Lonchura striata: one gene and its partners. The protein of the gene in region 3 purifies or fractionates together with the protein of the main gene of each other region. This does not show direct contact. Links are inferred from orthologs where the notes say so. Each region holds a gene or a part of one and is shown on either strand. Other genes may lie near its edges.

Region 1 (7,979 bases), on a different chromosome or scaffold from region 3:
TGGGAGAGTGGACAGATGCTAAGTTGCCTGGATGGATGGACAGAGAGAAGGACAAAAGGACAGATGAATGGATGGACAGATGGCTGAGTACTGATGGACATCTGTGACAATGGGTGTCCCTCAGGGGCCTGTACTGGCACCAGTGCTATTCAAGGCTTCATCAATGAAACAGACAATGGGATCAAGTGCACCCTCAGCACACTGGCAGAGGACACCAACCTGAGCAGTGTGGGTGACACGCCTAGAGAACAGATCCATCCAGAGGGACTTGAACAGGCTCAATCAGTGGGCTGACAGGAACTTTATGAGGTTCAACAAGACCAAGTGCAGGTGCTGCACATGGGCCATTGTAACACTCAGTATCAATACAGGCTGTGGGATAAAGAGATTGAGAGTAGCCCTGCCAAAAAGGATGTGGGATGCTGGTGAGAGGCTAGACATAAGCTGTCCATGTGCACTGGCAGCCCAAAAACTAACTGTGTCCTGGGCTGATCCCCATAGCATGGGCAGCAGGTGAGAGGGGGTTCTACCCCTCTTCTTTGCTCAGACAGGACCCCACCTGCAGTGCAGCCTCCAGCTCTGGGTTCTCCAGCATAGCAAGGATGTGGACCTGCAGTCCAAAGGCCATGGAACTGCTCTGAGAAGCTCTGCTCTGGTGACAGACAAAGAGCCAGGGATGTTCAGCCCAGAGAAGGCTCTAGGGAGATCTTAGAGCCCGTTCCAGTGCCTAAAGGGGCTCCAGAAGAGCAGGAGAGGGACTTGGGACAAGCTGGTGTGACAGGAAAAGGGAGAATAGCATCATACTGATATCTATCAGGGTTAGATGGGACACTGGGAAGAAATTCTTCCCTGTGGAGGTGGTGAAGCACTGACATGGCTTGCCTATAGAAGCTGTGGAGCTGAGAATGTGTCACTTTTACTCAAGAGCATCCCTGAACCAGCCTTGGAACTTGATGCCAACTTGCCTCACTGGCAGTCTAGAGAGCTGCCTTCCAATCAGCTCTACCAGCAGGACATTGCCAAGGTATTACTGTGCGTTTCGCTTTTCTTTTTCAGGAACCATGTTCCACACCCGGAGACAAGCCTGTACCAGGAGTGCTGTGATGATTCCCACTAGCTGTCCAGGTCAGAGACATGCAGGTAAGGCACCACAGAGGAGACAGCACCATGGAGGACACACTGCCTGTCACTTCTCTTGCAGGAACTGGGTTTAACAGCAGGAGGGAGCCAGGGCACAAGGGCTCATAAAATCAAAAAATGCATCAAAAAGCAGCAAGTGAAGAGAAAAATGTGCAGATTATCAAGCCAAGATAGTGCTTTTACGTAACATCTGCCAGCACAATTGCAGTGAAAAGCATTGGGAGGTCAGGGAGTGGCTGAGTTCAGTGCCCAGCAGAGAGCCCAAGAAGACAGGAGAAGACAGAGGAGATTAAAAAGATGGAAAGTGGAAACTGAGGCCACTCATAGTGTGCAGGCCCTGGAGAAAGACACTGTTGGTTGAGCAGATTATGAGGAAGAGTAGTAACCTGGCTTGTATTGCAAGTTTTACATGATTTGCAAAGGTGTTTTTTGATGTCATGTGTACCTGAGAAGGTAAGAGGACAAGACACAAAGAATTTGTTTATGCAGATGCAATACATGTAGCTAAATAATAATTTATCTTGGTATTTCTGTAGTAAAGTATCTTTCCCTTTCTCAGAGGCTGCTGAAGAAGTGACTTTTACACAGGTCACCAGAGCATGACTGGTGCCAAGGAAGATCTCTGCACTTGGATGCTCATCTGGACCGTGCTCCAGCTCACATCCCCTACTCCCAACACCTTTCTCACTGGACTAGGTTGCTAGAGGGCACAGCAGTCCCAAGCACTGGCAGTGGAGCTTGAAGCTTTTCTCATTTTGGAGTGAGCTTCTAAGCAAGCTTAGGAGCTGGTGCTTTATACTTTCTGTGATAAAAAATGCCTAAATGTTTGTCTTGGTTTTGCCTAAGAAACTGATTTCTGGGATACCTGAGAAATAGGGCAGAAGGTATATGAACTGCAGCTTGTGTGAGACACTGCAGAATCATCTTCAAGGTGAAGTGTTGTCTTTTTTAATCAAACTCCACTGCCCAATTCTGCCAGGAAACCAATTTCTTCACCAAAAGGAGTAGCAAGAGTGGAAACCCACCTGCTTAACCAAACACCCATGTTAATGGGGACTGTTAGTGTCCATGTTTGCAGTCACTTGGTTTCCCTGTCTCTCTTGCAGAGACATCTCTCCCTGGATGTTGCATTTGGGAGAACAGGACTCACACACAGGGGAGCTGAGCCTCTGATCCAGGAGCCCTGGAGACACTGTTCCTGAGAATACTTTTTCCTTGAGATCGCTGCATGCAATACAGGTGTAAAAGCTCCCACCTTCCTGCATCACAGGCGAGTGTTCATATAGGAAGCCTTGAGTTAAACAAATTTTTAAAAACCCTGTCTGTTGTTTCTTGCATGTCTCTTTCTGAGTAGTTTTTCACCTTCAGGAAACAGTAACAGACCCAAACTCTCTATAGGACAATCAGAAACACCAGATGGGACTGGGTTTGGTTTGATGGTTTTATTGTTTCAATCATAAATGTCAGGTTTAATGGTCAACATTCTTCTGAGATATCTGCAGCCTTTAATGGTCACTGGCAGGTTATGCTGGGAAGCTTAGTGACCAGTACTGAACAGATCCATACAGAAGCCATATGCACTTGAAATGATTGTCAAGGAGTGAGGCAACTGTTGCTATGTTGCCACTTTTTAGTTCTCCTCTCTTGATGATGAATGAAGAAAAGTTCCCTTTCTTCATTCTTGCACCATCCTTCCCTGAACTTCTGCCATCAGGAAGCTCTTTCTGTCCCTGTGGGAACAGCTGAGCAGGTTCTCATGGTCATTTCCCAGCTGGTGGTGAGGGTGCCCTGCTTTTCCTGGGGGATAGAATGTCTGGCTGACTTCTATTCAAGTTCTCCCCCTTCTCAGTGTGTGTGGGCTTTTTACACCTCCTTGATTTCTTGCAGACTCCTTGAGGCTTCAGCCCTGTTGTTTTCTGGCACATTTGACATGACATGCAGAAGACTGAAACAGCACAAGGCTTTGGAAAATAGACCACATTTTTCCAGACATGTCTGGCCCTTTCAGGCAGTGACTCATCTTTACACTCTCAGATGTCCATTTTGCCTCTTTTCACAGCTGGCCCTTCTCAGAGAGCATGCATCTGGCAATTTACACAAGCCCAGTTCAGTGCCAGACAGCAAGGGAGAAGAAATGGCCTGTCAACTGCAAGACAGAAAGAACTTACCTGGACAAACAGCCATTCTCTCCTATGACAAAAAGCAAAACCCATCAGAGAAGACAGCAACAGGATCAGTAACACAAGAGAGAGTATATTCTGAATATCCTTTCACACTTGCTCCTACCTGGCATAGAAAACTAAGTATGTATTTTGGCAGAGAGAAGTCTTGAGGCATCATTCATCTTGTACCACTGCCCATCCCTGGCCTGCAAAAAAAGGTATTTTCAGATGAACTGCAGTGGTTTTTAAAGCAAAACCACAGCTAGGACGCACTGAAGGACACAATCCACCAATGCAAATCACTGAGTAGATTTTCACCCTCAGGAAACAGTAACAGACTCAAAAATAATCTTTAGAGTCATTAGGAAATGCCCTGAGGAAACTGTGTCACCAATCACAGGCTGAAGGTATAGAAATAGATCACCTTTGTTCACCAAAAGCAGGCATTGCCATTTTGGCATTTCAGTGGCAGAAAAGTGCTCTGCACCAACCCATTTCTGTACATGCCAAGTCAGGGCTGATCTTCACCCTGGAGCCTTCTCTTGCCACAAGGAAAGGGCAAGGCCCAGCTACAGCACTGGTTGTGACAGCTGCACTCAGCCATTGAGTGTATACATGACTATTCCCAAATCAGGATTCTCATCCAGGAGAGGTCTCTTTCCAAGCAGAAAAGTTGCAGTGCACTTGTTTACATACCTTGCTCATCTTTCTGCCACAGAAAGCATGACTTCTGCTCAAGCACACTCAGGACATTGAAGGATGTCCTGTAAACTTCTCAAAGGCAGTGTTCAGATGATCAAACCTTGAAAACAAGCACAGACCTAACTGTTGCAATCATAGAATTAGTGGCAAAGATCCTGAAGATTGAGACCAATTTCTCCCCCACCACTGCCAAGGTCACCACTAAACCATGTCCCCAAGTGCCACATCTACACAGCTTTTAAACCCTTTCAGGGATGGGGACTCCAGCACTATTCTGGACAGTCTGTGCCAGGGCTGGACGAGCCTTTCCAGAAATTCTTACGGATGTGCAACCTGAACTTCCTCTGCAACAACTTGAGGCCAGTCCCTCTTGTCCTGTCCTTTGTTGCCTAGGAGCAGAGCCTGACCCTCACATGACTACATCCTTGTGCCAGGGAGTTGTGGATAGCGAAAAAGTCCCCTCAAGCCTCCTTTTCTCCAGGCTGAGTACTCCCAGCTCTCTCAGCTGCTCCTTGTACTTCAGACCCTTCCCCAGTTCCATTCTCTTCTCTGGACATACTCCTGCCCTGCAATGTTTTTCTTGTAGTGAAGCTCCAAGAACTGACCCCAGGACTAGAGGCACATCACTACAGGTGGGTGGTCACTGCCCTGGTTCCACTGGCCACACTGTGGCTGGTACAGCCCACGTGCCATTGGCCTCCTTGCCCACCTGGGCACAACTGGGCTCATGTTCAGCCGGCGTGTGCCCAGGGGGACAGGGAGTTGAACAGCAGGCCTTCCCAGCCGAGCAGTGGTCTACTCTGGGGAGTCCGAGCTGTCCCAGCAGGATGGAGCTCCGGACGCCACCCCGATACCGCAGACACAGTCTGGACACACCGAACACATCCCAGACATCCCGGAGAACCTCACCCCCACAGCCCCGCCCTGTCTCTCCTTCCGTCCCCGTTTCCACTTCCGCCGCCGTTTCCGCTTCCGGCAGTGGTACTGCGATGTCGGCTCTGGCGGCGAATCCAAACAACCCCGTGGTTTTCTTCGATGTAACCATCGGCGGGCAGGTGGGGATGCTCCAGGACGGAGTGGCGGCGCCCGCGGAGGGACTGCGGGGATAACTAGGGATGTCGGAGTCTTGTGGGGATGAGAGAGCGCAGGAGGTGCGGGGGCTCAATGTGGGGCTTGCGGGGCCGCAGCTGGAAGCTCTGGGAGGGGCGGTGCCAGGAGACGGATAGCGGGCCTGTGGGGAAGGGCTCACAGGGGAGAGGAGAAGCACTACGTTAGGAGGGACGGGCATGAATGGGGGTGAATAAGGTGACCGGATCTGTGGGAGTATTCGGGGTCGGGCGGCAGGCGTCTTTTTGTGAAGGGACCTGGAAGACTCACCTAGCCCCCGTCTGCTTAGGATGTTGGCCGCATGAAGATCGAGCTGTTCGCAGATGTCGTACCCAAAACAGCAGAGAACTTCAGGTAATGAGCAGCTACTGTTCCTGCAGCTCAGCCGGGACTGGAACTGCAAAGGCTTTCTGGTGCAGGAATGGCTTTTGGTAGCAAACTGATTAGCTAACTCCCACCCCAAACTGCTTCACCTGCTTTGTGTCTCTCTGTTCTCAGAGATGCTGTGTGGCATCCTGGGCTCTCAGGGGACCCTGTCTGGCTGGAAGGGGTCCTCCTCTGCCCTCCTCTCTGAAGCCTTCTGATTTGCTCCATGCATTTAGAGCAGACAGTGCCTTGTGTCATGGTGGAGGTCTCCTGGTCATCCTGTTTTCCTGCCATCAAATGAGGAATGCACCATGTGAAATCCCACTTCCATTGGAAGGATGGACATACCCTGCTCTCTATCAAACACACTGTCTGCCCCATATTCACAGTGTCTTACAACCTTGGTGTTAACTCTCTGACCTCCTCACGACAAAAAGCACAGAATATGTTTTGAAATGGCAGGGGGAAGGAATTGCCAAATCCTGTTTCTCTGGGAACATCTCTGACACAATAAGGAAAATCCTGTGCACCAGTTTGTGTAGCCCTCAGAGTTCACATGCACCTAACACTCTGCTCTCTTTTTGTTTGCCAGGCAGTTTTGTACAGGTGAATTCAGGTAAGTGGATTATAATGTCCTTTAAGTGTCCCACTGAGAAACAGGGCTGGGTGAGGTAGAAAGGGTTTGTCTTGAACTTTTTTATGTTGTACTAGTACAAAATGGAAGAGAAACCTGCTCTGAGGAAGTTGTGAGGGGCTTGGAGACTCACAGAGATGGCAGGTTTCGCTTTCTGATATTACTTTTTTTGTGCCCACATGGCTCTATAAGCTCTATCTGCAAAGCCCACCTGCTTATGCTGCACATTGCAGTGGGATCCTGTGAAGGTGATGATGTGGGTGTTATAGGGAACAGAGTCATTCATGTGCAGAGCCCACTTGAGGCTTTTTTTTGCCTTCAACAGCAGCAGCTGAGAGGCTGCGGCACTTGTTTGTATTTCAAGGCAGCTGCTAATGTACACAGCAACCCTTTGGGACTCTGAATTGTTGGGACTATTTTGTGTTGGGATATCCGGTAGGTTGCAATAATTCTCCTTTTCACTGCCCTACAGGAAAGATGGTGTCCCTATAGGTTATAAAGGAAGCACTTTCCACAGGTAAATCGTAGACCGTTGTTTGCACACTAAATAGCAGCCTGAGCCATACAGAGTTTTGTGAGCTGCCTTAAGCTATTAGTGGTATTGGAGACATTTGCGGATCATGGCTAATGTAATTCTATGGCTTTGGGGGACCTGGGGATGCTGTCCTCCCCACTGGGAGGAATCCCCTGTTTCTGGTGTGCTATGTCAGATAAGGCATCTATCACACAATCACTATCTCTGTACAAAAGCAATGAGTCCTAAATGACCTCATATCAACAGTTAATATTTATTGTAGATTTTAGGCTGCAGCATTCACAAACTGTGTTAACTTCTGTTGCACAGCAAGGCAGAACCTCTTTTCATGTTACACTGAGCTTCTTGAGGCTTTTGGCCACTGGGAACTAAGTGTTGTTTTACTTCTTTAGGGTAATAAAGGATTTCATGATCCAAGGAGGTGACTTCGTAAATGTATGTACTCTGGTACTCTTTTTGTCCTTTTCCTCTATGGTATAACATGCTACAGTTTCCAAGGGTCTTTGCTGATTTGTGGGATCTCCTTCTTTTCTGAGGTATCCAGTAGTAGCTGGAGGTATGCTCATAGCATTGCTGCCATCCTACTGCAACAGACACTAAACCTCTTGAAAAGGAATCTGGAGCCTTGTGAACAGGCATTCTTCCCAAAATATTTTCTCTCTGCAGTAGCCTATCAAAACCCTGGAAGCTTTCAAAACTTGAAAAATTTTGTTTGCCCTGTTTTCCTTCCCCCTTCTGATGTCCTCCTCCAGACAAAAACCTCTGTGAATTTCAATTCATATTGTAGATAGACCCTAAATACAGAACCCAGTGCGTAATGTAAGAGGTCATTTAAATCAAAACTAACCTTTTGTTACTAAATTGTCTCAAAATAGAAAAGTCTTTGCACCCACAATGGTGGTTGTGCTCTGACACAGGGATAAGAATATATGAGTAAGGCTGAAGGGTCACGGTATCTTCATTGTTCTAGGATCCAGTAAAATTATTTTAATTTTGGAAGCATTTAAAAATATGAGGGAAATTATAAAGCTTTTTTAATAAACAGCTTGGTTGTATGAAAGTCTCTGAGAGAAATGACCACACAGCAGGCGGTTCAGCAACACCAGACTCTGTTGTAGTTGCTAGTTGTGACACTGCTCAGATGAACCAGTGCACTGTATTACTTGCACTGTATCTCAACAGACTTTACAGATTGCTCCAGTATTTGGAATTGATATATTGTATTTATTACAAAGCCACAGTCACACTGACCCCTGAGACAGGGTGCAAATTTCTGTCTCAGAGCCAAAAGTTTAAGTAAACTACAGAGAGCAGGAGGGAAACAAACAAGGGC
Region 2 (7,536 bases), on a different chromosome or scaffold from region 3:
AAGAGAAGGAACAGGCAAAGGGCTGCTAGGTAGTTTTCTGATCCCAAATGTTGCCAATGTTATACAGTCATCAGAAATAAAATCTGTCTGCTCTAATGAAAGTGTGAACCTGTGAAACGTCCGTGTCTGAGTTGGTCACAGCAGGCTCGCTTTGTAAGCACTGGAGAGACGCAGGCATTTTTAGGGGGAAACGCATCTCGCTCTGCGGCAGGGCATTTCCGTGCGCCGGACCCGGCGCCGCGCTGAGGCTGCGGGCGGCGGCTGCGGAGGCGCGGGGGCCCCCTGCTGGGCACGCGGCCGCACCGCAGCCCCGGCCTTCCCCCGGGGATCCGCGCGCTCTCCGCGCCGGGAACAACTTCCGCACAAATGACGCCACTTGTGCCCCCAGGTTGTAATTTAGCCTGCCAAACCTTGCTCCTGAAGAGGAGAGGCAGTATATTTTTTTTTCCCCCCAAAAGATACGGGTTTAAATTAGATTTACCCATTTCCTCTGTGTGTGTGGGTGTTTAGTAAGAAAAGAATAAGAGCAGTGGTGGCTTCAAACAGAAGATTGAACCTCAGTTAGGGCTGTAAGAAGAAGGGCTGAGCTGCCTGCTTTCAGGAAGAGCCTAAGAGTAGATGAAGCCAGGAATTCTCTTTTCAGAGTTCCTTTTTACTGAGGATGCTAACTGCTTTTAAGCACCTGGTTTGGCAAAGCCTGGGCACTGGACTTCTTTAAAGAAGTCTGGCCTTACTCTTTGAGTTTTAATCCTCCTTTATAAAACAAAAGCGATTTTTAAAAAATCCCTTCTCTGGTTTTCAGGGACACTCTTAATATAAACAGATGGATCGGAGATCCTTGGCGTCAGGTATTGTGGCAGTGTCCTGCAAATATTTTAAGATTTCATCCTATATCCTTGTATCCCAACGATCTCATGTTCTTGGTCTTTGAGAATGTCTCTTTACAGAGAGAAAAAATATAAAAAGGAAAATGTCAACCCCTCACACAAAAGCCCTTTAGACTCTTACATGAAATACAGAATAATTATTGCTGTCCTGGTGTAACCATTAGTGGAAGTTGTTAAGCTTCTTATAATAAAAGCTTAAGAGGATGAGAATTATGTAATGCCCAATTCCAAAAGTATTTTTTTCTCTGACATTTCTTGTCATGTTTCTGATAAAGGCTGAGCCATTAGACAAATTCTTCAGAGACTACTTTGGTGTAGGTAACTTCAGAGGTGCCAAAGAACATCTATTTTGTTTTGGCTGGCTGATTTGCTTTAAAAAAATTAATTTTGCTTTCCCTGTAGTTGAGATTGCAATAGTGTGCAAGAAAACAATTGGCATGCTAGGAGAATAAACAATAGCATTCTCCTTTCCAGAAATTGTATTCCCTACAGGAATTAAACCATGGGCTGGACACCAAGTCCTAGTTTGGACCTCTTGCCAATTTGTCTCTTTTACTGAAATAAAAGGAAGTTGGACTACTGACAGGGACAATCTAAACTGGGAAGTTGGGAGGAGAAACAGCGAGGACAGGTGACCCAAACTGACCAAAGGTATATTCTCTACCATGTGGCATCATGCTCTGTACATAAGGCAGGGGGGAGGAGAAAGGGAGGATGTTTGGAGTGACAGCATTTGGCATCCCAAGTCACCATTGTATGTGATGGGACTCTGCTCTCCTGGAGGTGGTAGAACACCTGCCTGCCCATAGGAAGCAGTGATTTAATTCCTTGTTTTGCTTTGCTTGTGTGCACAGCTTTTGCTTTCCCTACTAAACTGTCTTTATCTTAACCCAAGAGTTTTCCAGTTTATATCCTTCCAATTCCTTCCCCCATCCCACTGAGTGGGAAATGAGCAAGCAGCTGTGTGGGACATGGCTGTGTGGAAGGGCAGCAGTCAGGCCTCCTTCCTGCCCACCTGACACTGGCAGCCCACCGAAAACCAAGGGAGGATTACGTGGCTCCCAGACTAGCAAGACTCATATGAATTTACAGGTTAGAAGGGATCTTGAAGATAATCTAATCCCAACCTTTTCTACAATGGACAGGGACACCTTCCACTAGACCAGGCTGCTCAAGGCCTTACCCACCCAACCTGACCTTTAACACTGCCAGGGCTGGGGTATCCACAGCCTCCCTGGGCAACGTATTCCAGTATCTCACCACACTCACAGTAAAGAATTTCTTCCTAAAATCTAGCTTAAATTTTCCCTCTTTCAGTTTGTACCCATTACTCACTGTCCTGTCTCTACAGCTCCTGAAAAAGAGTCCCTCTCTGACTTCCCTGTAGAACCCCTTTGGATACTGGAAGGTTGCTATGAGGTCTCCATGCAACCTTCTCTTCTCCAGGCTGAACATTCCCAACTGTTACACTGTCTTCATAAGGAAGGGGCTCCAGTCCTCTTATCAACTTTGTGGCCCTCCTCTGGACTTGCTCCAACAGTTCCATGTCCTCCTTCTGCTGGGAGAACCTGTGACACAGGGTTTCACAAGAGGAGAGAGGTTCAATCAATTCTCTCAGCCTGCTGCCCACACTGCTTTTGATGCAGCTCAGGTTATGGCTGGCTTTCTGGACTGCAAGTGCACACTGCTGGCTCATGTTGAGTTTTCATCAACCATTACTCCTACGTCTTTCTCTGCAGGGCTGCTCTCAATCACCTGTACACTCAGCCTGTACGTGTGTCTGGGATTGCCCTGAACCAGGTGTAGGACCTTGCACTTGGCCTCGTTGAACTTCATGAGATTCACATGGGACAATCTCTGAAGCCTATCCAGATCCCTCTGGATGGCATAATTTCAATGGCACCACATAGCTTGGTATCATCGGCAATTTTGATGAGAGTGAACTCAATTCCACTATCCATGTCACCTACAAGGATGAACAGTGTTGGCCCCAGTACCGACCCCTGGAGAGACACCACCAGTCACTGGTCTCCACGTGGACAATGATTCCTTATCTTTGCCAGTGGCCACTGCGAAGAGAATCGCTGCACCAAGCAGCCAGGCGCTGAAGGCGGACCCCGGCTGCAGGGATAAACCTTCCCGCCCACGCCAGCCCAGACCCGCCCCTGCCGCGCCTCCTGCCGTCCCTGTGGCCGGGGCCGTGTGCCTCTGAGGAGCAGTGCCGTGTGCCTCTGAGGGGCGGGGCCGTGTGCCTCTGAGGGGCGGTGCCGTGTGCCTCTGAGGGGCGGGGCCGTGTGCCTCTGAGGGGCGGTGCCGTGTGCCTCTGGGGGAGCAGTGCCGTGTGCCTCTGAGGGGCGGGGCCGTGTGCCTCTGAGGGGCGGGGCCGTGTGCCTCTGAGGGGCGGGGCCGTGTGCCTCTGAGGGGCGGGGCCGTGTGCCTCTGAGGGGCGGGGCCGTGTGCCTCTGAGGGGCGGGGCCGTGTGCCTCTGAGGGGCGGGGCCGTGTGCCTCTGAGGGGCGGGGCCGTGTGCCTCTGAGCGGCGGTGCCGTGTGCCTCTGAGGGGCGGGGCCGTGTGCCTCTGAGGAGCAGTGCCGTGTGCCTCTGAGGAGCAGTGCCGTGTGCCTCTGAGGGGCAGTGCCGTGTGCCTCTGAGGGGCGGGGCCGTGTGCCTCTGAGCGGCGGTGCCGTGTGCCTCTGAGGGGCGGTGCCGTGTGCCTCTGAGGGAGCAGTGCCGTGTGCCTCTGAGGGGCGGGGCCGTGTGCCTCTGAGGGGCGGGGCCGTGTGCCTCTGAGGGGCGGGGCCGTGTGCCTCTGAGGGGCGGTGCCGTGTGCCTCTGAGGGAGCAGTGCCGTGTGCCTCTGAGGGGCGGTGCCGTGTGCCTCTGAGGGGCGGTGCCGTGTGCCTCTGAGGGGCGGTGCCGTGTGCCTCTGAGGGAGCAGTGCCGTGTGCCTCTGAGGGGCGGTGCCGTGTGCCTCTGAGGGGCGGGGCCGTGTGCCTCTGAGGGAGCAGTGCCGTGTGCCTCTGAGGGAGCAGTGCCGTGTGCCTCTGAGGGGCGGTGCCGTGTGCCTCTGAGGGAGCAGTGCCGTGTGCCTCTGAGGGGCGGGGCCGTGTGCCTCTGAGGAGCGGGGCCGTGTGCCTCTGAGGGGCGGTGCCATGCGCCGCGGAGGGGCGGTGCCATGCGCCGCGGAGGGGCGGTGCCGCAGCCCCCCACGCGGCTCTGCATCGCTCCTTGGTACAGCCCTCCCGCACCTCCTGGCCGCTTCCTGTCCCCCGCGCATGCGCGCTCGTCGCTCCGCAGGCGGCCCCGGGCTGTGCGCCTGCGCGGCGCCCCGCGGTGAGAGCCGCCGCCATGACGTCCGCGCTGGAGACCTACATCAACCGTATCCTCCTGGCGTCGCCTCACGGCGCGCCGCGCTCCGGCCGCGCTCCGAGCGGGGCCCCGGCGGGGCGCGGCAGCGCGGCTCCGGGGCCTGGGCCCGCGCCTGTCCCTCCTGGCGGTGGGGGTTTCTCCTCCGGAGGCTGGCCGGGCAGGCCGGAGCGTACGCGGCAATAGGGTCCCCTGCAGCTCGCAGTGCTGCCGGGCTGAGCTCTGCCCGTGGTGAGCGGGATTCGCCGTGGGCCTGCGCCCTTAAAGGGCTCTTAGCCTGAGTTTGGATAACAGCTTCGCAGCACTTGCTCAAAACTGAGCTGGGGGATCTTGCAACGCTTTTGGTACTCGGTTTTTGTGCTCCTTGTAACCCACAGACATTGTCAGTTTTATTCACAAACAGTAAACTAGTAACCCGGAATTAGTTAAGACGATGAATATATGATCATCGAATAGGGATAATCCGATCTTCAGGAACAAGAGATGCAGAATACTAGCCTCGGGATCACTACTACAGAGCTTTTTAAGGACTTTAAGATTGGTTTTCTAAGGTCTTAAAGTGTTCATTAAACTTTCCATTTCGAGGCAGTGCAGTTAGCAATGGGAAGAGAGGTGAGCTCAAATCTTTATTCTGTTTTTAAGGCTTTTCATGTTTGTTTATGGCTGTCCATGGTTGGGTGAAGAGAAACTTTCAAAGAGATGTTAATGAAAAATACTGTATTGTTACATGTTATTGTCAGCCATGCTGCTTTAAAAAAAAGTGCAGATAGGCTTTTTAGGCTCTAAATGGCTCATAAAACCTGTATTACATATGAAAGCTTCAGAAAGTGTTAATGGTTCTATTTCAGATATAACTAAATGTTTCCTTAATTAAATATCAGGTACTGTTGCAGTAATTACTTCTGATGGAAGAATGATTGTGGTAAGACTTCTTTTTTTTAACATTTTATTTTCCCCATAAAGACATCATGGCAATAAAGAAGCTCTGTTAGGATAGTCTCACATACTCACATTACTAAATTATGTATTATAGAATAATTGCTATAAAGCTTAAAGAATAATTTTATGAACACTTACTGTTTCTTGCATGTCATGTCAGCTTTTTTCCATTGATATATTTGACTGCATAATATTTTTTGTTTTATGCTTCTGTGTTTTGGGTTTTCTTTCCTTGCATTGCATTTCCCCATCTTTTATTCTTTTGTGTTTTGAGTGTAACTTAATAGTATGATTGTTGCAAGAGGATTGTATCTTTCTGTCTACACTGAGCTTTGTGCAGCCTCTGGAAAGAGAAAACAGAAATCTGTTGGCTTCACCAAATCTGCTTGGCTGAAGTCAGTCTGATAAACTTTGTGTGTGTGTGCTACAAGATACCTCTATCAATAAAGATTGGAATGGAGTTGGTATATATGACTCGTTGTTAGATGATATAAATATTATGACTGTTTCAAGGGCTGTTTTATGTAAGTTTGAGTTTCTTAATCAGTTAGTGATGGTAAATTTATGTTAAAAATTATCCAAACACGTACTTAATTGCCACAAAATCTTGTATTTTTTAATGTATTTAAAAAAAAATCAGTAAACACAAAGTAATCTTCAAAGAGATGCCCCTTAAAAATTGTTTGTTAGGAATGGTTTCAGTATTGTTGACCACAAGAATCCAACTTGTCTGTTTTCTGTTTATTTGATATTTTTTTTTAATTTCTGGAAATGTCCATACAAAAAACCATTGTAGAAATAGTAGAATTGGTTATATAGAGGAACATCACTGATAAAATAAAAAAATTACTTTTTTAATGCTTAAGCATATTGTCTTTTAGCATGAACACAAAGTAATACTAGGGTGCTTTTCTTAAATTGGTTATTGCTTTTAAAATTTCATTCTTTAGCTTTTGTGTTTAAACCAAAGAATAAAATCTGAATAGAACATCTGTTCTCTAGTACCTTTATTTTGCCACTCTGTTTAAGAGTGCTGTCCTTGACAGCAAAGGGGAAGAATTTTAAGGGCAACGGCAGTGTGCTTTTTTGTGTTTTTTTTTTTCAGGGAACACTCAAAGGTTTTGATCAGACCATAAACTTGATTTTGGATGAAAGCCATGAACGAGTGTTCAGTTCTTCACAAGGAGTTGAGCAAGTAGTGCTAGGCTTATACATTGTTAGAGGTGATAATGTGTAAGTATAGCATGTTCTTGTTTAAATCCTTTCATACAGACTTTGTGTGTGGATGCATGTGTTTGTGTGTGTGTATATTTATATATCCATAATCTGTATAAATCTTGATAGCCCCACACACCTTGCATCTTTGTGGGTAGCACTGAAAGTATTGTCAAAGCTGAAGGTATTAAAAAGATGTGTAGAAGTGACACTTAGGGACATGGCTCAGTGGTGGACTTGGCAGGGTTAGGTAATGGTTGGATTTGATCTTTCCAAACAAACAACTGTGATTCTGTATTAAAGACCAAACGTCTACACTTCTCTAAAAGTTGAGACTGAAGTTGAGATTGAAGATGATCTCTGTGCTGGAGCATCTCTCCTACAAGGACAGGCTGGGAGATGATGAAGGAAAAGACAGAATAATCACTAAAAAATGAGATAGAACTTGTGTACCAAAAGTCATCAATTTGGTATCAGTTTGGGTTTTTTTTTTCTTTAGAGCAGATGTTCGCAGAGAACTTTATAATCTGGAAAATCCTTGAAGGTTCTGACTTGACAGTGTAGCAAGTGTTGAAGCCAATGTAATGACAAGTCAAATGTATGAGTTGGTATTTGATGTAAACTTCCCTTACAAAATGAGGGTGGAAGCTCATTGAGTGCGGAGAAAAGTAGCTGGTGTGCCAAACCCATGCGAGGGTTACCAGAGAAGTGGAAAGAAGGCCTGGTAAGCGGGCCAGCTGGGAAGATTACTTTTGCCATCAGTTTCACAATGCTGCTGCAAAAGTAAGATTATTTTTTTATCACAGCTGAAAAAAGTGTGTTGCAGTGGCTAAGACATAAATCTCGATAGGAATTTTCATCTTCTAATTCTAATGTATGCTTCTGTACAACAAAACACCAAGGCTTAAATTGATATCTAGGTGCAAGTGGATAATTCTGAATACTTTCATCACTTTCAATTTAAACTTTTAAGAAGAAGTAATTTGACACATGTACAAAGGTGGGACTATGCATACCCCTATACCAGTAGCTTTTCATTCAGGTAGTAAAAATGTGTATAAAACAGCAAATAATGGTTTACTACTTCACTGTTTCATCATAGAGTTGAAATGTATGATGAAAGACATCATC
Region 3 (8,197 bases):
AAGGAGTACCTGCTGCTGGTGGTGGTGGTGGGCTCGCTGTCCTTCGTCCTCCTCTTCATCATCTGCGCCGCCGTCATCGTCCGGCAGAAGCACAAGGCCTCCGCCTACTATCCCTCCTCCTTTCCCAAGAAGAAATACGTGGATGAGCGGGACAAGTCGGGGGGAGCGCGGGCGTTCAGCGAGGTGCCCGAGAAAGGCCCCGAGGCCGGCGCGGAGGAGCCGCTGGACAGCGGCCGGCAGCTCCAGGCGGACATCCTGGCTGCTGCCCAGAACCTCAAATCCCCCCACAAGGCACCGCTGGCCAACGGGGCCCAGGCCGAACAGAATTCCCCTCAGGAGGAGGAGAAGGAGGAAGAGGAGGAAGGGAAGAAGTTGGGGGATGAGCAAGCCAAGCCCCCTGCTCAAAGTCCAGGCGTGGAGGAAGTGGCGAGCGCAGGAAGCAAGGAGATGCCTGATGCATCCCAGGATGGCTGCCAGGCTCCCTCTGGAATCTGAGGCAGGGACACAGTCCCGGGCAAGCCTGAGGAGCTGCTGGCTTGGGACTCATGATGGACACGGTGGGTCAGGCTCCGTACGTACGTGGTGGCTCAAGGAAGCCCCGATGAAGATCCCATTCCCTCCCAGCTCCCCCGACCCTGGTGCTGATGGGATGCTCGTGGGGGGGGATTTGCCAGCTGGTGGTTTTCCCCAGCACTGGAACGCCATCAGCCCCAGCTCCTGCTGCCCAAGGGGCTTCTCCCACCCCAGGCACTGGGGGTGTGTGCATCCCCCCAGCTGCAGCTCTGCCCCCACTGTGCCACCAGCTTCCTCCCAAATGTTATTTCAATCAGCAGCAACAGCCTGGTCCATGCCAGGCTCCTGGCTGGGAGCCGAGTCCCTCTGGGAGAAGGGATGGGACCAGGGCTGGGGGTCTGTAGGACATGGGTCAGCTTTGCCCATGGCCACCCAAGGGAAAGAGGGATGAGGATTTAGGACAAGGACCCTTCTTTCCACCCCAGAGCCCAGCTGGATTTTTGCCTCACTTCCTGAACCTTTCAGCTAGAAATAAACATTTCCTCCGCACAGCTCCTCTCCTGTGTGTCTCTGCAGCCGTGGGGTGGCCAGGGGACCGTCCCTGTGTCCTTGTGCTCCTCCAGGGGCACAGCTGGATTGCACTCCAGGGGCACTGGAGCCCTGGGCAGGGTGTTATCAGTCCCCACATCAGCACATCACGTGCCCTTCCAGGAAACCTTTATCTCGCACCCACAGCTGTGGGCTGAGGAGGGGCTGTGGGGACTCAGCCGTGGCCCTGGGGTGCAGCTGCTGCAGTGGGAACAGCAGGGAGACCTGCAAGGTGAGTGAAGCTGTGCTGCCTCAAAAGCAGCACGTCCCTGTATCCCTGAACCTCCTGTATCCCTGGGTTTTATCCCATTATGTCCTTGCCTCAGGACAACCTTCCCTTGGGAAGAGAGTGCCAGCACAAAGAGCGGGTTTTGCCCCAAAGCAGACGTGAATGTGTGAAGTTTCCCTGATTTTGTTTTTAACTGGGCAATAGCAGGATTGTTCCATGAGGGAGAGGCACATTCCTCGCTGCTGGAGGGTGCCAGCTGAGGAATCACAAGAGGGACCTTGTGAATGACATACAGCAATGTGTGACCTCTGTGTTAAAAATTACAAATATTGTGCCCAGACAGAGCAGAATGAGACTTTTTTTTTTTTAAAGTGTGGTTTTAAATGTTTAACAACACCCTCGGCATGAAAAATGGGAAGTGAGGTGTCTTGTTGTGGGTTAGAAGGTTAAAAAGTGAAGTCTGCCAATGTGTTGTCTGCTTGGTTTGGAAATACTCCTCCAGAAAAGAGGAACTCTGGGAGCTCCCCATCAGCTCTGCATTCCAGCTCTGCTATTCCCCACCGAGCTTCCAGTCTCCTTAGAGAATCTTGGAGTGGTTTGGGTAGGAAGGGATCTTAAAGGTCATCCAGTTGCAAACCCCTTCCTTGGGCAGGGACACCTTCCTCTAGCCAAGGGTTTACAGCTGTAAGAGTGAGTGAAGAAGTGAAATTCTTAAGAGAAAACACCCCAAAATTCAGGCTCAGTTCCTCAAACAAGAGCTTCAAAAATTAAGTGGCGACAGGATGGGAGCAGAGACCACCAGTGTCTCCTGGTCACTTTTCCCTTTGGCACCTGCAAAGGTTCCCAGAATTCCAAGAGCAGGAATTTGCCCCCGGATTGCGAAACCAACCCTGACACAGCCGGAGCCAGGGGCGGCCACACAGCTCTCACACACACATCCAGACCAGGGCAACGCTTCCCACTAAATTCCATCAAATATTAGGCAAAACTAAACATCTTCCCAAAACAAAAATTGAAAGTGCAGCCCTTCCAGTACCGGACAGCGGGGTTTTGTCTCCGGAGCGGAGTCTTCCCGCGGCATTCCCAACGGGATGGGAGCCCCCATCCATGTGAGCACTACGGGGTGGCTGGACACCACAGGGACACGTTGTGCGTAACTTGTGCGTATCTTACAGCTTGAGTAGTGCACAGGGTCCTACAACAGCTCGGGAATTGCACTGCAGAGTGAGGAGGGAGGAGGGGAAGCTGCGCAGGCGGTTCAGGCATTGTCGGCTTTTTTGTCGGATTCTCTGTTTGGATCCTGCTTCAGTTTGTAATCGGCCAAGGCAGCCTTGATGGCGTCTTCAGCCAGCACTGCAAAGCAAAAAAAAAAGGATTTTAAGGAGAACTCAAAAGCTTTTAAAACAAAAGATGAAGTAGAAACAAAAGCAGGCAAGACCAGCAGCACAGGCTGATTTGAGGAGTAGAATCTGAATGGAATTCCTAAAATACTGAATTCCTCCAATTTCAATAGTGTAATTCAGAATCTGATTGTTTATTATCAGTCTGCTGAACCACAGACTCCAATATATCAAAGTGATCTGAAAATTCTTGAATTAACGCTGAAATCTGAACATGTTTTCTCTTAAGGACAACGTTGTGCAGAAACTGTTTGGAAAACAGCATCCAGAAGCATCTGTGCTATTTCCAGAGTATCTGAGATCCAGGGTTTTTACTTACTGGAGCAGTGCAGTTTGACAGGGGGAAGGCAGAGTTCCTTGGCAATATCTGTGTTCTTGATTTTCAGCGCTTCATCAACCTGAAACACAGGCAGAGGTGGTCATGGGCCTTGTTTGTGTTTGCTAAGAAGGTTTAATGCTCCAGAGCCAGCAGAATCCACAGGGGACATCAGCTCAGCTGCCCAGGGCAGTGAGGGATGTGGGAATTAAGGAATGTCTGACTGACATATCAGTGTCACACACTGTCCCCACTTGGCCTGTTTCAAGTCTGTTCATCCTCTACCAAAACACTGAGGTGCATTTACTGCTGGCAGAAATGATCTAAAGGTTCTCCGTAACTAAAATTTCTGCCATCAGCCTGGTTTTGCTCATTGCATAAGACAGAAGATAATTTCCTGGTGGAATTGTTTACTTGGGCACGTGCTCAGGAGTGGAGCTGCTGGGGAAAGGTTGGACTTGATGTTGCTATAGAGGGCTTTTCCAACCTTAATGGTTCTCTGATGGTTGTTGAAAAAGACAATTATTGCCCTACAAGTGAAGCCCTGACAGTGCTGGCAGTCACTTCTACAGCACAGAGTAATGCAGGGATTCCCTGGAGAGCACTTCCTACATGATCCCAACAGAAAACACAGCACGTGGGAAGCTCTGCAGCTTTCCCGGAGCTCCCTCACCGTTTTCCCTTTGACCCACTCCGTGGCCAGCGAGCTGGAGGCGATGGCTGAGCCGCAGCCGAAGGTTTTGAAGCGGGCATCCACGATCTTGCCATTCTCGTCCACTTCCACCTGCGGGAGCGTTTTGGGGACAAGTCAGTGCCCGGTTCAGCTCAGCCAGGTGTTCCCAGCCGGGCCCGCGGGGAGCGGGGCTGGCCCTGCCCCGGGCACAGGGTGGGCATGAGGGAAGCCCGTGCTGTCCCCTGAGGGGAGCTCTGACCCTCGAAACAGCCCCATGTGACCCCACCCAGGTGCCACCGGGTCCCCAAGGTCACCTGTAGCTTCATGACGTCGCCGCAGGCCGGGGCGCCCACCAGGCCGGTGCCCACGTTCTTGGCATTGCTGTCGAGGGAGCCGACGTTGCGCGGGTTCTCGTAGTGATCCACCACCTGCAAAGACACAGCGTCAGACAGGCTCGCCCCGCGCTTCCCCCATCCCTCCCCGTGTCACGCTCGCCCCTCACCTTCTTGTGGTAGCCCAGCGCGGCCGGGGCCGGCCCGGGCCGGGGCCGCAGCAGCGCCGCTCCCGCCGCCCTCAGCGCCGCCATCTTCACTGAGGGGCGGGGCGGTGGCGCCGCCCTTTTATAACCTCGGGCGGGCTGGCCACGCCCTCAGGTCTCGCCCAGGCCACGCCCCCTCGCCTCCGGAGCTCGCGTCTCCCCCCGGTCATGCGTTGGCCACGCAGGCGGCGGGAGCGCTGGCGGCCGCGCTGTGGCTAAGGTGATCAGTCAATAAATAAACGACAGAAACGGCGTTGCAGTCGCGCCAGGGTTCCCATCGCGACAGACGGCGGCGGCTGTGCGCACGCGGCGCCACACTCAACATGGCGGGCCGGCCGCGCCGCGCACGCCACGGACCCTCCCGGAGGCCCCCTGATGGCCACACAGCGGGGTGCCCGCGGTGCTGCCTGCGCCGCGGAGCAGAAGACAAAGGGTCGAGCCGTGGCCGCACTCGGCGCAGCGCTGCCCCGGTGCGCGGGCCAGTGCGGGGCTGGTGTCGGGCTGAGGATCCCGGTTCTTCCCGCCCGGTTCGGCCGGCGGTGGGGCGGAACTGCGGGACGGGCGGCGCGGGGGCAGCCGCGGCGGGCGGCGGAGCGCGGCGGGCGGCGAGCGGAGCTGCATAAGATGGCGGCGGCGGGAGCTGAGGCGGCGGCCGAGGAGGAGAAGCGGCTGCCGGAGGGAGACCCCGAGTCGGGCGGGGACTCGGATGATGAGGGCGACTCGGACTCGTCTGGGGACGGCGAGGATGAGGAGAAGGAGAACGAGGCCGAGATCCAGCGGCTGGAGGAGCAGGTGGGCCCGGCGGGGCAGCGGGTGTGGCGGGAACGGGGATAATCCGTGTCCGCCCGGGCGGTTTGGTGTCAGGGTGTGAATTTTTCTGCTCCTTGTGGGTTTCTTCCAGGTCGGGATATCCGGTGATTTAACGCCGTGAATGTCTGGAGTCCTAGATGGGAGTTGAGCAGCTTGAGATTCTTCTTTTTTTTTTTTTTTTTGGAAGGGAAATAAGAGGGAAGTGGAGTAGGCAGTTCGTGTTCATTCAGAAATGTGAGCCGGCTGCCCGCGTTTTTTTATTGCCTTTAAAGAAATGAAAGCGCAATTCTCTCTTTGAGCAGTGGCCGAGGGAGCGGCCGGGGCTATGTCTGGGGTTAGGTTAAATCTGAGTGTGAAAAACGCCAATTTTAAAGTTTTGAAAGTTTAATAATAATAAAATGTTTATGAAAATAGTAATACAATTAGAGTAATAAAGTTTAGAGTTAGGACAATTGCAAGACAATAAAAAGCAAAGAATTACGGACATCCAGATGCTCTCGGTCACTAAGTCACGAAAAGCATCCCTTGTGAACAAAGGAATAACCTTAAAAGCAACAGCCTGTTGTGTATTCATATTTCTCATACATGATGCATAAATTCCTTGCAAATTACGAACTCTTTTGGTTTTTGTCAACTTCTCCTTAATCCTGTTGGTTCCACAAAGACGGAGAGAAGGTGGAAGAATGTTTGTTTTTTCTGTTAAGGAGGCTGTATCTTTTTATGGGCCCTCTTCACTGACATCTCCGTGTGAAGAATTTCTTGATTATCTCATCTTCCTGCTTGAGCTTGTAACAAGTCCTACATCGCAGAATTTATGTTGTAACTTAAAGCTACATTTAACACACTACTTAAGAGAATTAATAGAATTAATACAGCATAACTTTCTGACGTTACACGTATAATATTCATTGTAGCATTTGCGAAAAGCCAATCATAAAATGTGCATTTTTCACATGAGGAACTCTGCCTTGCCTGGCTCTGTGATCACACCACGAGAATTGTGTGATTTATTTTCTGACTTTTTCACGTCCATCACTCAACAGGGCTTTTAAATTTTTTGTTGTTGTTTGTTAAAGCTTTCCATCAATGCTTTTGACTACAACTGTCACTTGGATCTGATCAAGCTGCTCCGGCAGGAGGGAGAGCTGGTGAAGCTGCGCAGAGCTCGGCAGAAGATGAGCGAGCTCTTCCCCCTCACTGAAGGTACAGAGCATCCTCTGCTCCCTGCAGGTGAAGCATCACCCGTGCAAGATGCTTCAGCAGTGAAATAAAATATTCAAGCCAAATTTTCAGCACCCTCGCTCCAGGGGGATGTGATCCAGAGCTCAGCAAACTCCTGGTCAAAATTTCTTAGGCAGGCAGCAAAGAAAATTCCCTGCTGGTGGAAATTGCGGGTGCTTGAAGTGGGGATTTTTGTTTTATTGCAGGGGCTGTGGGGTTTTATTCTTGGAAAGGGATGGGGAGGCCCTGGCAGAAGTTGCTTGGAGAAGTTGTGGCTGTTCTTGGATCTCTGGAAATGTCCCAGGCCAGGCTGGACAGGGCTTGGATCAACCCTGGGATAGTGGAAGTTGTCACTGCCCATGGCAGGGGATGGAATGGGATGATTTTCTAAGTCCTGAGAAATTCCAGCTTTTCTCTTTAGTAAAAATGTGCTTGTTCAGCACCAATTTAAAAGCTTTCTGCCTTTTATCTGAAATTAATTTGGAATTGTGGAGGCTAAAATTCCTCTCTTTGCCTTACTTCCCCTCCTTTGTTTTAATTGTTTTGCTAAAAACTCATCAAGTGGGTATAACGTGTTATTTCTGAATATTAATGATCTTCTTTAATTTTTTTTTCCTTCCAGAAATTTGGCTGGACTGGCTGAAGGATGAGATAAAAATGGCTTCAGAGATCTCTGAGAGAGAGAAGGTTTATGAGCTGTTTGAAAGAGCTGTCAAAGATTACATCTGTAAGTCATCAAAAAAAATGTTTTAAAATGGGTTTTGTTGCATCCAGATTTGGTTTTGTAGGGAAATCTATTGCTTCTGTTGTAACAAAGAAATTGGGTCAAAATTTCAAATTAATTTCTAAACTCTGAATGTGGAGTGATGCAAAGGAAGGATGTGATGTCTGGTCTCTCTATTTCTCAGGAGATGCTGTAGCTTAAAATTTTGGGGATAAATCCCTGAGCTCTTTGGGAATTGGGGTAAAGAGCTGGAAAAATGAAGCCTGAAGAAGTGGAGGGAATACGGAGGTAAATCCCCCCCAAAAGTTGCGTACGGAATGTCACATCAGTGACATTACCTGGTATTGGTGATCCCTGAGGAGGAAGGAATGGAGGTGAAGAAGTGAGGAATTATCCTCTGGATCTGCTGGACTTCATCTGGGGTTTGGAGGCACTTCTGGAACCCAGGGCAGTCCCAACCTGGGGGTCCCAAAATGGAATTTGGAGTTGGTGGGAATGGTGCCAGGCACTCAGTGCTGTTCTCCCACCTCTCCTTCACCTGCAGGACTCAGCTGCTTCAGGAGTTGCTGATCAGGGAAGTTCAGGAGTTTGGAAAGAGGAGTAGGAGGAGCTGCTTTAATCTGAATTATTCCAGAGTGTGACAGCTCTGTGGTCCCAGCTCAGGAAACAGGAATTTGCTGTTCAGGCATCTTGGTGCATCCCTACTGTGGTTTGTGTGGCAGAGGTGACAGGCAGGGCCAGTCCCTGTCAGCAAAACCACAGGAGTGACACCATTCAGAAGGAAACTGGGGCTGCTGCTGCTGAACCAGCAGCATAAATACAATCCCCAAATATTTTAACTTTTTTGGATAAAAAACAACATCGCCACATGTTTTTCTATTTCTATGCAGCACGAGGTATTTGTGGGAAGCAGAGCTGCGTTTCTTCGTTATTATTTTTGAAAAGATCAAATCACCTGCTTCTCCTAACCTTGTTTAGGTCCTGAAATTTGGCTGGAATATGCCCAGTATTCCATTGGAGGCATTGGGCAGGAAGGGGGCATCGAGAAGGTTCGGTCCATCTTCGAGCGGGCTCTGACGGCCGTGGGGCTGCACGTGACCAAGGGCACGGCCCTGTGGGAAGCCTACAGGGAATTTGAGAATGCCATCCTGGAAACAGCACAGGTGAGCCTATCAAAACTCTGCA
Region 4 (7,300 bases), on a different chromosome or scaffold from region 3:
CAAACCTGACATGATCTGTCACAGTATATTTTAACTGGACAGAAACTAGGAAAGACAAATATGTGACAAAAGGTCATCATGTCACTTAAGCCATATAGGAGGAGATGAACATCCCAAGGGGGTGAGCACAGTATAAGAAGTTGAAGATGACAGAATTTTGTTAGGCTCTTCTATCTAAAATCTATAGGTCAAACCCAATACTACTTTGAGTAAGGTTCCATTCAAAAATATATTAACTTTTTAGTTGAGAACATGGAAGGAAATTATTAGTTCTGATGATCCTAGCACATCATGGGAAATAATGCTGGATAACTAAGCCTCTGTTTATGGAGAAAAACATCTTTGAAGTTTTACTGTATAGGCACATACAATCATTCACATGCTGGGAGGCTTGAACTCTCCCATCCAAATGCATCCAAAGGGGAATATCAGACCTCTTAATACTCATTAAAAAGCCGGGCCCTTGGGAAGCAAAGCACTCCCAGGAACTCGGAGGGGGTTAAGTGAACTCTGAAAGCTTCTGAGGCTCTTCCTTTCCTTTTGACGGAACTGAAAGTGTAGGAGACAGAGAGAAAGCCTCTGAGTTCTAACATTGTTCTCCCCAGCTCCCTGGAAGAACTGCTGACAGTTCCTTGTCCACCAGGAAGTTTGCAGAGGAGGAAAGGGAAGAAGGTCCCAATACTTCCTTTCTTTCTCTTGCTTCTTCATGCACCCTTCACTTCCTTAATGTCTTATTCCTCACACTCAGAACATCAGAAGAAGACAGTTCTAAGAAGCATAAATCACAGTGAAAGAACACAGCTCCAGAAGGAAGGTTTTGAGACCTCAGCTGTATTTTCAGTAACTCACAAATGTATCCTAAGTAATGGAGGAGTAATTAGCAAAACTTCTGCTGGCTTTAGTGAGAGCAGAATTTTGCCTTCCACCTCTCAAATCCCAAAAATGTACTGTCATGTTTACTTCAGGGCCCTCAAGAAACCCTGCAATATCAATGCTAATCTTGAATTGCAGAGTTTCTCCATATCAACACTATTTCATGGAGGCTGATACCTCCTTCTACCTCCCGTCAGAGAACAAGAAATGCTCCCCTGGATTTGGAACTTGATCTTGTCTATTACTTTATTACATAACTTAAAAAAAAATTATTTCCTCTTTTTCGAACCTAAGAAGACACTGAAGTTAATTGTTAAAATCATGTGATATGCTGTGATTTGGGCCAGAATGGATTTGTCCTCTCTGACAAAAGTTTCAGGTGAGAACTGTTTAAAGATTGAGGCTTTTATTCATCCACTGGGTGTAGCTGGGGATTGTTAGGTTGAATTCAAAATGGGCTACAGACATTCTTTTGTCATCTGGATTGTTGTTGATCTGCACTTAACTTATATAAACGATGTGCAATTCACAGGAAAAGGCTCCTTCTGACCCATTCTGTGTTCTGTAGCCATCTCACTCTGAAAATGCTTTTATTTCAAGTAGCTGGGAGAGAAAAATCTTCCTAACTTTAAAGTGGGTTTTATTGCTAGGAGAGAGAAGAGAGAGAGCATGAGTGAAAGTGAAATCCCATTTAATTTTTAAAGTTAACGGTAAAGTTTTAATTAGGTCCTCTGAACAAGGATTCTGTGAGGCTTTGTGTTTAAGAGTTAGCAATAGATCCACAGACTTCCATCTTAAAGTTCAGTTGACAAAGGCCAATACAACTCTTTACTTTGTAACTACGTAACCATTTATGTTTGAGGTGAAGATGTTAATATGGAAATTTTGTGAGCTGGGAACGACTAAGAACTCTATCATCGTAATTTATGACCTTTCATCTGAGGCCAAATGTAAAGGCAATTGCAATTGTTCTTTATCTCAAGGCCAGCACATAGCAGATGTGTGAAATTTGGAGTGCTAGACATAAACTTTTATTACCAAATTATAAATAATTTCTATCACTTACAATGTTCACCTTTCAAGTTCATCTTGATTAAAACACAAGGGCAGCATCTCGCTGATTTCCATGAGTTACACAGCTGAAAAAGCTCTACCATGGTACATTAGGAAAGGATAAAGCAATGCAGTATTTAAAACAATCTACTGACATCCAGGTATGCAACATTTTAGATAAAAATACTTTTTCATCTAGAGGACAAACAAACAAAAGATAATCATCAGCCAATGACATCTGAATTTTATTTTCACTTTTGGAGATTTGGAACCTTAAGGATTCCATTTAAGACTAATTTACCTCTAGGAACAGCACATGAGACAGCACTTTGAGACCTCTGGCACACCAAGGAAAATTACCCAAGATTTAGGTTCATGACTTGGTCTCAAACTGTGGAAGAAAGGAGCTAAGGATACAGAACTCACCAGTCTCAATGCCCAGGATTCAAATCTGATGTGTTTGTTTGTGAGGTTCACAGGCTGTGAAGCAGGAAAGTACACTGATTTTGTTGACTGACAGCAGACAATCAAGGTATCCACACAGGTAGAAACTGTAATTAAGTGTAAGCCTCAGCTAGCTAGAAAGCAGCCTATTGAGCAGAAAGCAAAACAGCTCATCAGTTTCTGATGGCTCAAAAAACCCCATAAAAGCTCTGAAGGCAAACTTGTAAGAAATAAAACAAAGAGGAAGGCTTACAAAACAAGGTGTCCCTGGTTGGATTTGCAAAATTGCCATGAAAATTTACCAGCCCAGACATGAAAGCTTTATTTGCCAAATCTTTATACTGGAGATTAATAACAATGAAAACAGAAATATTCCCTTATCAAAGCATTACTCACTGAAGCCAGGAAGCCAAATAAAACTTTGCAAGTCTGCTCCCTGGAGTAACTATTTTATGTTCCTTTTCTGCTTCAAATACTAGATATAATCAAGCACAGTTGGATGCTCCTGATTAACATGACGGTTGCCTGGAAACACAAGCACAGTGTGGCCAAACTTCCCTGTCCCTGCCTGTGCTTGAACTCTGGGACAGGCAGGTGAATAAGGTCAGGTTTGCAGCTCTTGCCTCTTAAAAGCCTTTTAGTCTAAGCATTGGAGAAAAAATTGTTACTGGACACATGTTCAAAAAGAGAAGATAAACAACTCCAGAAAGAAGTGAGAATACAAATCTGTGTTCTGAAAAGCCATGGTACATTTTCTTTGTATCATGAGAATTGAGAGGTTTGACAAGATACTAAATCAATACAGGACAGATAAAAAACCCAACAAAACAAAGCAGTCCAGAAGCTTTCACAGATTATTAACTCTTGTCATAGTATGAAATCGTAAAAAAAAAAAAAAAAAAAAAAAAAAAAAGAAAGAAAAAATAAGTATTTGAAGTATTTTCCAGACATCAGGGGATAGCTGCGAGAAAGGAGGAAAAACAAGTGAGATGATGGGGAGAAGCAGAAGAGTAGAAGGTGAGTTCAGTTTCTTCGTATGCCAAGTTATTCCCAGGTGACTTAAAAAAAAAAACAAAACTTATCTGTGTTCACTGATTCCTCTGTGAAATGACCTTCAGCACTTCCCTGGCTGGTCCTGGACAGATCCCTGTGAGGTGCTCACTATGTCTCTGATAAGGACAAGATCATTTGAGAATTAGCAGGGTCTCATTAGAATAGAATATAATAATGAGTACCGTATTGGGTATCAGGAAGAATTCCTTCATGGAAGGGGTGATTCGACATTGGAATGGGCTGCTCAGGGAGATGGTGGGGTCACCATTCCTGGAGGAGACTGGAAAGCAAAGCCTGGAAGCGGCCCTCAGCTGGGCAGCGCTTGGACTCGCTGGTCTCTGAGGCCTTTCCCAACTTCACTGATCCTGCGGGGCTTTTTCCCACAAGACACCCTGTAAACCTTCCACACTGCAAGATTTCTCTCCGATGGGGTGTTATTTCGCGCGGAATCCCAATCAAGCCATAAAAACCCCTCACCGCCCTGAAGGGGCCGGGACTCCCCCCGCCAGACCGCGGGGTGGGGCCAGACCCCTGAGGGCGCGCCCGGCCCGTCCCGCCTTCGACCCGCGCGGGCCGTCCCGCCCGGCCGCCGTAGCGGGGCGGGGCGGGGCGGGGCGCGGGAAGCGCCGGGAGAGGCGGTGGCGGCGGTGAGTGCGGGCCCGGCCGGGGCCGTGTGTGTGCTCCGGGCTGGCTTGTCACGGGCCGCCTGCGCCCCCGGGCTGGCTTGTCACGGGCCGCCTGCGCCCCCGGGCTGGTTTGTCACGGGCCGCCTGCGCCCCCGGGCTGGCTTGCCGTGGAGCCGCGCTCTCCGGCCGGGCTGGAACGCGAGGGTTCCACCCGGGGGCAGCGGCTCCAGACGCGTGTGCGGTCCGGGAAGGGGGCGCAGCCCTGGGCGCCAGCATCGCTGGCGGCGGTGGGTGTCGGTAGGGAAACTGGATCCCCGGGTTCACGGCTGGATTTGCCCCAGGAAGCAGCGAAATGAAGCCGGCACCGTGCGGGTTTTCTGTCTCTGGCCTTTGGCACTGTTGAAATTTAAAAGCTGCACAGTGTGGCAAACAAAGATTCTTAGTAATGCTTTCAGAAGGAGTAAAAATGCCGAAGGGAAAGTGGAATGCAATGGCTTTAGGAGCTCTGTCTCCCCACCTCAACCTTTAGAGTTTTGCTTTAATCTCTTTCTCTTATGGAAAGTATTACAAATCAGGGGTCTGCTTGTCTGTACAGAGTATTTAAAACAATGTGGAGGCATGTCTCTTATCCTAATGTTTTCACTTCTTAGCTTACCAGAGAAGATCACGATGAGTCTACGGAAGCAAACCCCCAGTGACTTCCTAAAACAAATCATTGGAAGGCCAGTTGTTGTAAAATTAAATTCTGGAGTTGATTATCGAGGTAAGTTCTCTATCTGTCTCTCACAGTGAGTAAAGTAGTTCATTGAGGAGGCTGGAATAGATGCATTGATTTGGAAAAGAAAGGCAGTGTGATCCAGAATCATGGAGTATGAGGATAGATATCTCAGAATGGTGATGGCAAAATAGAAAAACAACTCCGGAGAAAGTGTTAAAAAGAGGGGGTAACAACAGTGGATTTAGAGGTTAAAATTACTGATCTAAGTTATTAGTGTCATTGGTCACAGGTGGGTAAACTGGATGATTTTGAGTTTCTAAGCTGATACTTGGAAAGATTGTCTGGAATTACAACTCCTGAAATGGCCAGGAACACTCCTTGTTGGAACTATGTACTAGGCTTTTCTTCAACTTTTTTTTTCTCTATTTAGTTAATACAGATCTTGATCCAGGAAAACTTCAGAGTAAACCATGCTGTCAGTCACAACAGAATTCTTACATGAGGGATGAAAGCATTATTGACATTCTTGGTTAAACAACTGCCTGGACCTGTGCTGGACCAAGGCTCACAGAGATACAGGAAAAGGTTTAGTGTAGTTTTTGCAAGCTTCATTTTAACACAGCCCATCAGTTTTATTCCTGATTTCTTCAATCTATCAGTATACCTTCATGTATATAGAATTATAGATTTTTTTTTTAACCAGTAAATTAAAACTCTGTGCAATGAAATGTTCTGGTCCTGCTCCCATTAAGATAACGGGATCACTCTGACCAATTTTTTTAGCAGTATCCGAACTCAGTCAGACCTAATCATGTATCTTCTGCTGTGCTCAGTTAAGAAATTTTATTCTGTAATGACTTAAACTTTATGGTTCTGCAAAAGACCCCTTCTTCAGAGAGGTTTACCTCAAGTGGCTTACATTGGCACTTGTGTGAAGAGACTTGTTCGTGCTCTGACGAGGAATCTTTGTGCTAGGACAATATTAAATTGTTACTGTTCATTGACTGAGCAAGCAGTGGCATCTTACTCCTTCCTGTTTCTCTGCGGTGTCAATCAGCTGGCAAAATTTTCAGTCTCTCATTTTTTTGAGAACCACATTGTCTGAGTACTTCAGGTGGGTTTGAGGGCTTAAGAAGTTTGCTGCCTCTCTGTAAATTCTTTAGTGCAGGAGAATGTAGAGAGAGCTCATTAAAGTCAATTAAAGCAAGTCCTCATTTACCTGAGGGTACACAGAAGGCAAGGCCAAACCAGATTTGGGTTTTGCTGCACTTCCTATTTTCATTGAGACCATTGCTACCTCTCCCTTGGTAAGATCCTTTTGTAAATGCTGTAGATTAACGACCCAACTTACCCCTCAGCAAAGCTAGTTTAATGTGCCTACTGTGTGACACCACATCACATTAATTGAATAAGAGTTCCTTGAACACCCTTATTTGTTACTGGATTTTTCCTGTCCTTCCCTTCCTTCTTTCCCTGCACTCCTTTGATCTTGTGACAGAAAATCTGTGTAGTGTTTTCATCTGAAAAATATGCACTTAGTTTGTTTTCTGGAGAAATGTGACCAGCATTTGTAAAAGCCAAATATTTACAAAACAGCATCTCGGGCTGTTGTTGCAGATCTGTCCAGATTCTTCCCCAGACTGTGTTGCTGATGCTTTTGTTGCCTCCACCCTCGGAGGCCCCACACACACACACCTCATGCAAGTGTTGATGTGTAACTGAACTGTCTTCAGCCATTGCCAGGTGCTGCAAATGTCCAAGACAGGAAGCCCTGAGAAGCGATCAGGGGTATATTAATGTATGGTTCTGTGTGTCAATATGGATATGTACATTAAAACATCTCTACATACAGATGAAAGAGATAAATTGCTAGCCAGGATGGGCAGTGATAATATTTGATGCCATTAGTGATGTAAGAGTAAACAAAAAGAAAAGGAGGAAGAGAATGAAACAACCATGAATGCACTCTCGAAGCAAAAGAGTTTGAAAATACTGCATTTATGGCCTACTAAGTTGTATGTAGCTCAGGTAAATCCACATGGTCCAGTTTTAATTTTGTACAAACATATTTTTGCATCCTGTGCTATGTGGATCCCTTAGGATTACTGGAGTGGAAAAGAATCCTGACTTTGGTTTTGGTCTTCTTGCTGCATTTAGTGGCACTTTGTGAGCAGTTTTTCCTGTCTGTGGAAACAGAGGAGAGAAAAACAGAAAGGAAAATAATAACCTTTAAGCCATGACAAGTTGGTAAAGAAGTTGAATTCCTGATTATTAACTAGACGATCCTGCAGTAACACTTCTGAAAAATTAGAATATGTCCTGAGTTTTCTCCCTCTTCTTAAGTACAGCTAATACACTATATTTCATGTCTTACTGCCAGGTAAATAGCTAGGTGTTTTTCAAACAGAGGAAAAAGTTATTTAAGTAAAAAGTTATTTATCCTGTGCAAGGATAAAGACAGAAAAACCCACATGCAAGAGGAAGATGAAACAACTTGTAAAAAGCTGTATTACCTCTGTCCTCCTAAAATGCA

The links.
Region 1: the proteins of SART3 (region 3) and PPIH purify together in Homo sapiens (affinity purification with mass spectrometry; 3 studies listed by BioGRID and IntAct, with this or other methods). This does not show direct contact. The link is inferred for Lonchura striata from reciprocal best matches to the Homo sapiens genes SART3 and PPIH.
Region 2: the proteins of SART3 (region 3) and LSM8 purify together in Homo sapiens (affinity purification with mass spectrometry; 4 studies listed by BioGRID and IntAct, counting the BioPlex papers as one, with this or other methods). This does not show direct contact. The link is inferred for Lonchura striata from reciprocal best matches to the Homo sapiens genes SART3 and LSM8.
Region 4: the proteins of SART3 (region 3) and LSM6 purify together in Homo sapiens (affinity purification with mass spectrometry; 4 studies listed by BioGRID and IntAct, counting the BioPlex papers as one, with this or other methods). This does not show direct contact. The link is inferred for Lonchura striata from reciprocal best matches to the Homo sapiens genes SART3 and LSM6.

Annotation. Positions count from the first base shown.
Region 1 is NC_134626.1:8,516,723-8,524,701, reverse strand, and holds the start of PPIH (peptidyl-prolyl cis-trans isomerase H), read left to right. Parts: upstream 1-4,840; 5' UTR 4,841-4,993; coding exon 4,994-5,059; intron 5,060-5,400; coding exon 5,401-5,465; intron 5,466-6,069; coding exon 6,070-6,093; intron 6,094-6,583; coding exon 6,584-6,628; intron 6,629-7,038; coding exon 7,039-7,081; intron 7,082-7,979. UniProt on the Homo sapiens protein: PPIase that catalyzes the cis-trans isomerization of proline imidic peptide bonds in oligopeptides and may therefore assist protein folding. Participates in pre-mRNA splicing.
Region 2 is NC_134607.1:33,921,850-33,929,385, reverse strand, and holds the start of LSM8 (LSM8 homolog, U6 small nuclear RNA associated), read left to right. Parts: upstream 1-4,176; 5' UTR 4,177-4,233; coding exon 4,234-4,264; intron 4,265-5,132; coding exon 5,133-5,173; intron 5,174-6,295; coding exon 6,296-6,423; intron 6,424-7,536. UniProt on the Homo sapiens protein: Plays a role in pre-mRNA splicing as component of the U4/U6-U5 tri-snRNP complex that is involved in spliceosome assembly, and as component of the precatalytic spliceosome (spliceosome B complex).
Region 3 is NC_134620.1:11,419,614-11,427,810, forward strand, and holds the start of SART3 (spliceosome associated factor 3, U4/U6 recycling protein), read left to right. Parts: upstream 1-4,834; 5' UTR 4,835-4,881; coding exon 4,882-5,049; intron 5,050-6,143; coding exon 6,144-6,270; intron 6,271-6,910; coding exon 6,911-7,015; intron 7,016-7,990; coding exon 7,991-8,175; intron 8,176-8,197. Other genes in the region: iron-sulfur cluster assembly enzyme ISCU, read right to left, coding at 2,589-2,683, 3,050-3,128, 3,720-3,830, 4,034-4,147, 4,222-4,305. UniProt on the Homo sapiens protein: U6 snRNP-binding protein that functions as a recycling factor of the splicing machinery. Promotes the initial reassembly of U4 and U6 snRNPs following their ejection from the spliceosome during its maturation.
Region 4 is NC_134606.1:62,311,428-62,318,727, forward strand, and holds the start of LSM6 (U6 snRNA-associated Sm-like protein LSm6), read left to right. Parts: upstream 1-4,034; 5' UTR 4,035-4,070; intron 4,071-4,699; 5' UTR 4,700-4,718; coding exon 4,719-4,812; intron 4,813-7,300. UniProt on the Homo sapiens protein: Plays a role in pre-mRNA splicing as component of the U4/U6-U5 tri-snRNP complex that is involved in spliceosome assembly, and as component of the precatalytic spliceosome (spliceosome B complex).